2 linked regions of the Caenorhabditis elegans genome follow. The protein of the gene in region 1 purifies or fractionates together with the protein of each later gene. This does not show direct contact. Each region holds a gene or a part of one and is shown on either strand. Other genes may lie near its edges.

Region 1 (3,754 bases):
CGGAAAATGGAAGAAATGAACAAGACAAATGCAAAATGTTTGTTAAAAAGTAATTGAAAATGAGTAAAACTGTGAAATATACTAGTTTCAGGCTTGTCGTCGTCGGATCGCATATTTTCAGAGTTTTATGCATTTTCAGTTACTTTTTAATAAAAATTTTGCATTTTTCTTGTTTATTTCTTTCATTTTCCGAGGAACAAACATAGAAAATGAAGAAAATCGGTGAAATAACGAGAATAAATAAAATAAATAAATAAAAATAATGCAAGTGCGCTCCACCGAACGAATCCAATTGGCGGAAATTCAAAGCGGAATTAGGGGGAAAACTGAGATTTTTTCAATTTTCAAAAAATCATATAAAATCTAGAAAATTTTTTTGAATTTTTTTATCATGATATTCGGTCCTTGTGACCTCATAGGAATGTTTCAAAGCAATTTCTCCGCTGGCGCTACTCCAGAAAACATAAATTTATTACTATCTCTGAAGAGACACCCCGTCCGAGAGTGGAATTGGATTTGCATCAAAGAAGCTGGTTTCACACTCGTATCCAATGATTTCCACGTCGCCAACTGTAAAATCTGGGGGTTTTTCAGCATAAAAACAGCATTTTCAACCTACCCATTCCTTTTCTCAATTTTTCCAAAGTGAGAAATGACGTCATAAGTGGTCCACCTTCATTCACATTTTCTTTATCCTCAAAACTATCTTCCATTGGCTCAATTTTCTTTTTGAAAATCATCTTTTTCTCCGCTTTTCCTGCTCCTGATCCTGTTCCCTTGGATGGAAAATCAACGACAAGAACATCTTCAGAGCTCAGAGAAAGCTGGGAAACGCTCGAATGATTCATCACGAAGGGAATCGACGTGAGCGGGAGCACGCGGACACGGTACTTGTCGAGCTGAAAAATTTAGATTTTGAAATTTTAAAATTTGAGTTAAAGGGGGAGTAGAGTTTGTGGGTATTTTACTCAAATAGACTAAAACTGGACCAAAACCACCGAATTTCATAATGAGACTTCACAAAAAATTTCCAAAACTTTTTTATGGCGGGTTAATAAAATTTCGAAAAAATAAAGCCAAATTTTGCTAAAATCTGAAATTTCGCACACTTTTCTTTGTCACAACCGCTGAATTTTAATTTTTCTAAAGTTATCACCCTTTAATCCTTATTTTGGTAATTTATCTCGCGAAAATTCGTTGATTGAGACAACTTTTAAGCCGATAGGCTTAAAAGTTGAGTAGGCATCCAATTTTGATCATTTTTGGATGCCTATCGGCCTAAAAGTTTTCTCAATCAACGAATTTCCGCGACATAAATTACCAAAAGAAGAATTAAAGGGTGATAATTTCAGAAAAACTAAAATCAAGCGGCTGTGAGACAAAGAAAAGTATGCGAAATTTCGGATTTTAGCAAAATTTGGCTCTTTTTTCGAAATTTTGGCCCGCCATAAAAATGTTTTGGAAATTTTTTGTGAAGTCTCGTTATGAAATTCGGTGGTTTTGGACCAGTTTTAGTCTATTTAAGCAAAATACCCACAAACCCCACTCCCCCTTCAAACGAAGAATTCTAGAATTTTGGGGGAAAATTACCAGGAGAACCGGTGCCGGGGCGTCGTCCTCTTCGCCTTTTGCGGCCATTTTTTCATTATATTGCTTGAGCTGCTCGATGGTGAGTGGCATTTTCTGGGAAATGAAATTTTGAAAAAAAAAAGAAGAGAATTTTCTGAAAAAACGTGAAAAAAAACATTTTTTCACTGATTTTCTTCATTATTTGTGTATTTTCATCGGCAAAAAGAGAGAAAAATGCGAGATAAATGTGAATTTTTCATTGAAAAATCACTGAAAATGGGTAAAACTGTAATATTATGAGTTCCGACGACAACAAGCCGGAAATTAGCTATTTTCAGTGATTTTTTAATGAAAAATTCACATTTATCTTGCATTTTTCTCTCTTTTTGCGATGAAAATACACAAATAATGAAGAAAATCAGTGAAATAAGGAGAAAAATAAAATAAATTAATAACAATTTAATTTCCGGCTTGTTGTCGTCGGAACTCATAATTTTACAGTTTTATCCGTTTTTAGTGATTTTTTAATGAAAAATTTACATTTATCTTGCATTTTTCTCTTTTTTTCCGAATAAAAAAACCCAAAAAATTAAGAAAATCTGTGAAAAAATGAGAAAAATAAAGTAAATTGTTTTGTTTTCGCGCCACTTAAGTGCACTTCCTGTGCAAACACTTCCACGTACTTTTGCGTACTCTGCAAGCGCGCCCCACTGCACTCCTTATCGACCCACCAATTTTTCCAATAAAAAAGACTTTCTGATTGGATTTTTTCTCAATTTTTGTTTTAAAATCAAAGAAATTAATGAAAATTAATTAATAACACATTATAATTTTTAAAAAATCCATTTTTCAGCAGGATGTCGGAGGCAGACGCCGGCGCGAGGGATGGTGAGAAAATTAAGATAAAAAATTCAAAAAAATCAAAGAAAAATTGCAGAATCACCATCAAGGACAGCGGAAGAGCCGGCTGCTGCAATGAGAATCAAAGAAGAACGGAGAAGTTCTTCGGTAGACGTAGTCGACGTAGGAAACGGCGAATTATTAGTGCTTCACTCGATTTTTTATCAAGGAAAGACGCTTCGTCTGCCGGGTAATAGAGCTCACATGTATCCCGTTGTCTTTCAAATGATTAAAGGGTGAGAAAAAATCGATTTATAAATATATATATATATATATAATTAATTTCTGATCATTTTTCCATTTTCAGCGTGTGCTCCCTAGTTAAACAATTGGTGGTCGCTTTCCCGAAGGGCTGGGACCAAAATACTCCGTCAATTAGTGAAATTGCGGCTCTGACGAAGAGTTTTAATCGTGTCGCCAAGCCATTTGCTTCGAATGTGAGCTTTTTTGGCGTTTATAAAATCCAAAAAAGGCGGAAAAAATAACTTTTTTTTGGCGTTTAAAAATCCAAAAAAACCGGAAAAAATAGCTTTTTTTTGGCGTTTATAAAATCCAAAAAAGGCGGAAAAAATCGAATAAAAATGAAAAATTCGTGTTTTTTCTTCCTTTTCTTGGATTTTTTTAAACCAAAATCCGCAAAATTTGCAAAAATTAATTAATTAACTATTTAATTTCAGTGGAGCGGGTCGTACAACACAGATACGCTGAAAGAGTGGGGAGAGCCAAATTGCTCGGCAGAAGTGGCAAAAGCCATCACAACGTACGCCTACGAGTGTGCAGTTCCACGGCCAGCAGATCTCAATCAACATTACAAAAGTTTCACGTCCGAGGTGAGGCGTTTTCCTGGAAAATTCATATTTTATGGAAAAAAGCTGATAGTTTCGGGATTTTTATTCAAAAATCGGTTTTTCCTTAGAAATAAGCCTGAAAATTTATATTTTCTAAAAGCCAAATAATTTAGGCATTTTAACTTAAAAATTCATCAAAAATCCTATTTTTATCGAAAAAAAGTCAATAATTTCGCTAAAAATCGGCTTGAAAACGATTAGTTTCGGGATTATTACTCAAAAATCAGCCCGAAAATCCATATTTTTATCGAAAAAATCCCATAATTCTGCATAAAATCGGCCTAAACGCGATTAATTTCGAGATTTTGACTCAAAAAATCATGGAAAATCCATATTTTTATCGAAAAAAGCCAGAAATTTCGCGGAAAATCGTCTTTTCAAAGATTTTTTCGCCCAAAAAGACAGAAAAATCTCACTTCACCTTAAAAAATTATATA
Region 2 (3,754 bases), on another chromosome or scaffold:
ATCCATACGAGATCTCCGAAGATTGTAGGGAAGAGAAAATCTGGAAAATATTTTTCTATATTCTACCCCATATTTACAATAATAAATATTAAAAATATATAAATCAATAAGTGATCGTGTAATATCGATAGGGTTTCGCGCTCCACTGCACTCCCGCCAGCGGCTCTATCAAGTTCTTGAACATCAACAATCTAAGAATGAGCGTTATAATAAAAATAATTTTATTTGACATGCATTAAATAGGAAACATTGTAGAATAATCGACAAAACTTGGTGAATAGAGGGGACGAGATCAATACAGGCGGTTTTATATGAATACGAGATGACTACGAACATGATGTTTACTCAGTTTTCCTTTGTTTCTGAGGTTGATGGCATTTGAAGAACAGCCGGTTTGAATTTTGGAACGGGCTCGGACAGTTTGATATAGTTGTAACGCGGCGTCGGAGTCGCCAATTTCTTTTCAGCTTGAGCTTTCATACGACGTTCTGCCCATTCTGAAGTATCATCTTTGATGGAGGAACGAGTGGTGAATTTAGCTGCTGGTTTCTGGAAAAATAATTATTTATAGTGAAAAGTTGCACTTTTATCTACCTGTGGCGTAACGGCAATACTGGATAATGAATGCCCTAATTGAGGCATGGGTTCCACGTTTTTCGGTTTAATGAAGAATGATGGTCGTCCATTGTTAAGAGTTTTCAGAGGAGCAGCAAGAAGCGGGTGCTCGAAATCCTTATTGACAACTGGTGCAGCTTTTCTGTGAGCACATTTATTGTCGAATTGTAGTTGCACAATGTCCGCTTTGAGATTTTCTACTTCCTGTTGCAATCCACGAATAATTGTCACGTACTTTTCGTTGTCCTTCATCAAACCGTCAAAACCTCCTTTCACGCTCGCAATTGACAATTCGAACGACTTGAAGTAGCCGGTAATCAACGCTCCCACTTCGCGTTTTGGAATTGACCTCATTTTAATGAACATTCTTTCCCACAAATGAACCCTTTCCGTTTCCAGGTGACAAACTCTGTCTCTGAGACGACGCATCTCTTTGACATCAATATCACTTGTGGTCATTCGGGTAACGTTGAATCTTTTTGTGGATGACCGAAGTCTTTCTTCGACTTCTTCTACTTCCATTCGAAGACGTTTTACCATCCCTTTCAGTGCTCGATTCTCTCCATGAAGAACTTTCAGGTCTTCTTCAACCTTCCGCTCGGCATCAATAACCTGAAGAATATTAAAAAAAATGCAGTTAATTGATATTTTTTAACCTACCTCAGAAAACATTGAATTTCCGCGTGCCGCTAATTTTCCTTCATGGGAGTTTCTCTCATCAAAAAGCTCTCCTTCCAATCTGGCAATTTCCTCATCACGCGTCTCCATATGATTTTTGAGGTCCCGAATATGATCCATCATCGACTCAATTTCATCTTTCAAGTTGACCGCTTCTTTTTCGAGTTCGGCGTTTCGTTCGTAAAGAGCAGTCGCCGTCTCTTTGTATTTCTGACAATCTTCGCTAATACGAAGCATTTCAGATTCTCCGAAGGAATTGGAATCATCATGTTCGGGAATCACTGATCCGTTGGCAAACTCCTTATTCTGAGAATTCAATATATTAATGTTGCCCACAATGATGAAAACCTACAATTTTTTCGAGTTTGTCGATCTCACTACGCAGTGAATCGATGAGAGCGTCCCGATCAAGAATTGTGGCGTTTTTTCCGTCCATCTCAACATGAAGATCGCGAAGTTGTTCACTCAATTCTTGTGCACGTTCTTCGAGTGAAAGTTTGGAAGAACAAGGTTTTCCCTGATTTTTGAGATCGTCTTCCATCTCCTCGAGCATTTCATCTTTTTGACGGAGAATTTTCTTGAGCCTCTCAACGTCCTGAAATATTAGGTTTAGTTGGTAATAGATGAAATGATAAAACGTTACAGCAAGTAATTGGAGCTTCTCCTCGTCGTCAGGCATACTGATTGAAGTTCGATTCTTCTGAAAACATGAAAATGTTTCGATAGAAAACGATCAGTAGAATATTTTTCACGGCAACACGATTTATAAGAACGTTTCACGCAGATCTATAGCTTTTGATGTTTTAATAAAGCGTAAAATTGATTGCGAATATATTTAAACTAATTTTATGGGAATATTTTGAGCTAAATTATATCAAAACGATTGAAAAACAATATTTTTAGGTAAATTGAGGCGCAACTCATTTTGAAATGCGTTGAATACCGCTGGTTCCCGCCGAGAATTGGTTGTTCACGATAGAGCGCACTTGCATGTTTTTATTTTCGTCAATTATTTTCGGATTTATTTCTGAAGATTCAAGGAAAAAACGAGTCGCAATGGCTTCTGGAGGTATTCCCACGCCATTTATGGGAACTGGAGTTAAACAAGATCTTCATTTATTGTGCAACAAGTTTATATCTATGGGATCCAACAGGTATAGTTAGAAAATGTATTATTTGATGGAAAATCTTGATTAATTAAGAATTCGAGACTTTGCTGATGTTTTTCGGGATATGCATTTTGAGACCATTCTTCATTATCGATTAAATCCTGCCGAATGCTTAGAGGTAGCTTTATTTTGATTTTATTTAGTCTATTATAATATTCCGGCTTTCAGTTTACTGAATACCTGTTACAACACGCAGCAATGTATTTCGGAAAAGTGAATGAAGTTGGAGCATTCAGGGCATTCAAGGTTTGAAATAGAAGTAAAAATAAGTCTGAAATGTTATATTTTCAGGAGAGGCTATTCGGAGTTTATGTTTGCTATGCGTTGTACAATTTGCAGCCAGTTGATCATGTCTGTCAGGTGATTAATTCTAAGTTTAATTTAGTTTTAAAAAATTTAATTCAGATTCCGGTCACTGCGGTACAATTCGAAGAGCTTCTCGAATTTCAAAAATCTTTAGAAGTCGAAAAACTTCTTGAACCAATTGCGGCTCTCAAAATGCTTATTCTGAAGAAAGCGTTTAGAATTAAAGTGTTTCAGTCGACATATGATCCGGCAACCCACAAAAAATACCTTGCCGAGGAAGAGTTGCCCTATTTTAACAAAATTCCAGTTGTAAGTAAGTTAAATTATTGGAATTTTTTCATAAACAGTTTCAGGAGCCGTTTTCCAGTGTTACGAAAATGCTCAGTTCTGATATTATGACGGAATTATCATTTATTCACGGAGTTTACACAGAGGCTAAGCAAAAACTTGGACTAAGTGATACTCTAACGGGGCTCAAATCACCATTACACGAAATCAAGGGCATTGTCGAAAAATATAAAGAACAGTTCGAAAGTTCTCCAACAAATCCAGAAATTAGTAGCGCTCCAGAGGAAACAGCTGGTTCAAGCAGATCAACTTTGAGAAGTAAAGCATATGCTGAAGGACTAAAACACACTAGACAAAGAAGGCATCTTGATCCAAACATGGAAGGTACATTTATTACACGAAAATATGTTTTTTTTTTTCAAAAGTCAGCGTTCAACTTTTGCAGAAAACTTCAAACATCTTACCGCAAGAACGTTTGGTGACATCGCCCAGGAATGTTTGGATGATAATGATGCTCAGGTTCCAATGTAAGCAATTACAGTTTAACCCCAAAATAATAACCTATTTTTACAGCCCGATTGATCGCCCTGTAAGACAACGGCGACGCAGAAAAACGACAACAGTTAATCCTGAAGAGTTATTAGACGATAATGCATTGGCTGAAGAAGTTCTACGAAATGAGTATGCTGCCAGAATAA

What was found. Proteins that work in one complex are often made in the same cells at the same time.
Region 2: the proteins of zwl-1 (region 1) and spdl-1 purify together in Caenorhabditis elegans (affinity purification with western blotting; 3 studies listed by BioGRID, with this or other methods). This does not show direct contact.

Annotation. Positions count from the first base shown.
Region 1 is NC_003279.8:2,400,161-2,403,914, reverse strand, and holds the start of zwl-1 (Protein zwilch homolog), read right to left. Parts: upstream 1,684-3,754; 5' UTR 1,681-1,683; coding exon 1,591-1,680; intron 900-1,590; coding exon 620-899; intron 571-619; coding exon 477-570; intron 1-476. Other genes in the region: dot-1.1 (Histone-lysine N-methyltransferase, H3 lysine-79 specific), read left to right, coding at 2,427-2,457, 2,507-2,705, 2,777-2,906, 3,147-3,299. UniProt on the Caenorhabditis elegans protein: Essential component of the mitotic checkpoint, which prevents cells from prematurely exiting mitosis. Required for chromosome segregation, the assembly of the dynein-dynactin and mdf-1-mdf-2 complexes onto kinetochores and spindle pole separation.
Region 2 is NC_003280.10:7,779,805-7,783,558, reverse strand, and holds spdl-1 (Spindly-like protein spdl-1), read right to left. Parts: upstream 1,994-3,754; 5' UTR 1,973-1,993; coding exon 1,937-1,972; intron 1,889-1,936; coding exon 1,646-1,888; intron 1,600-1,645; coding exon 1,276-1,599; intron 1,228-1,275; coding exon 595-1,227; intron 550-594; coding exon 346-549; 3' UTR 208-345; downstream 1-207. Other genes in the region: snpc-1.1 (snRNA-activating protein complex subunit 1), read left to right, coding at 2,350-2,447, 2,496-2,580, 2,631-2,708, 2,754-2,822, 2,868-3,077, 3,122-3,440, 3,502-3,583, 3,630-3,754. UniProt on the Caenorhabditis elegans protein: Transient kinetochore component required for chromosome and spindle pole alignment and chromosome segregation during mitosis.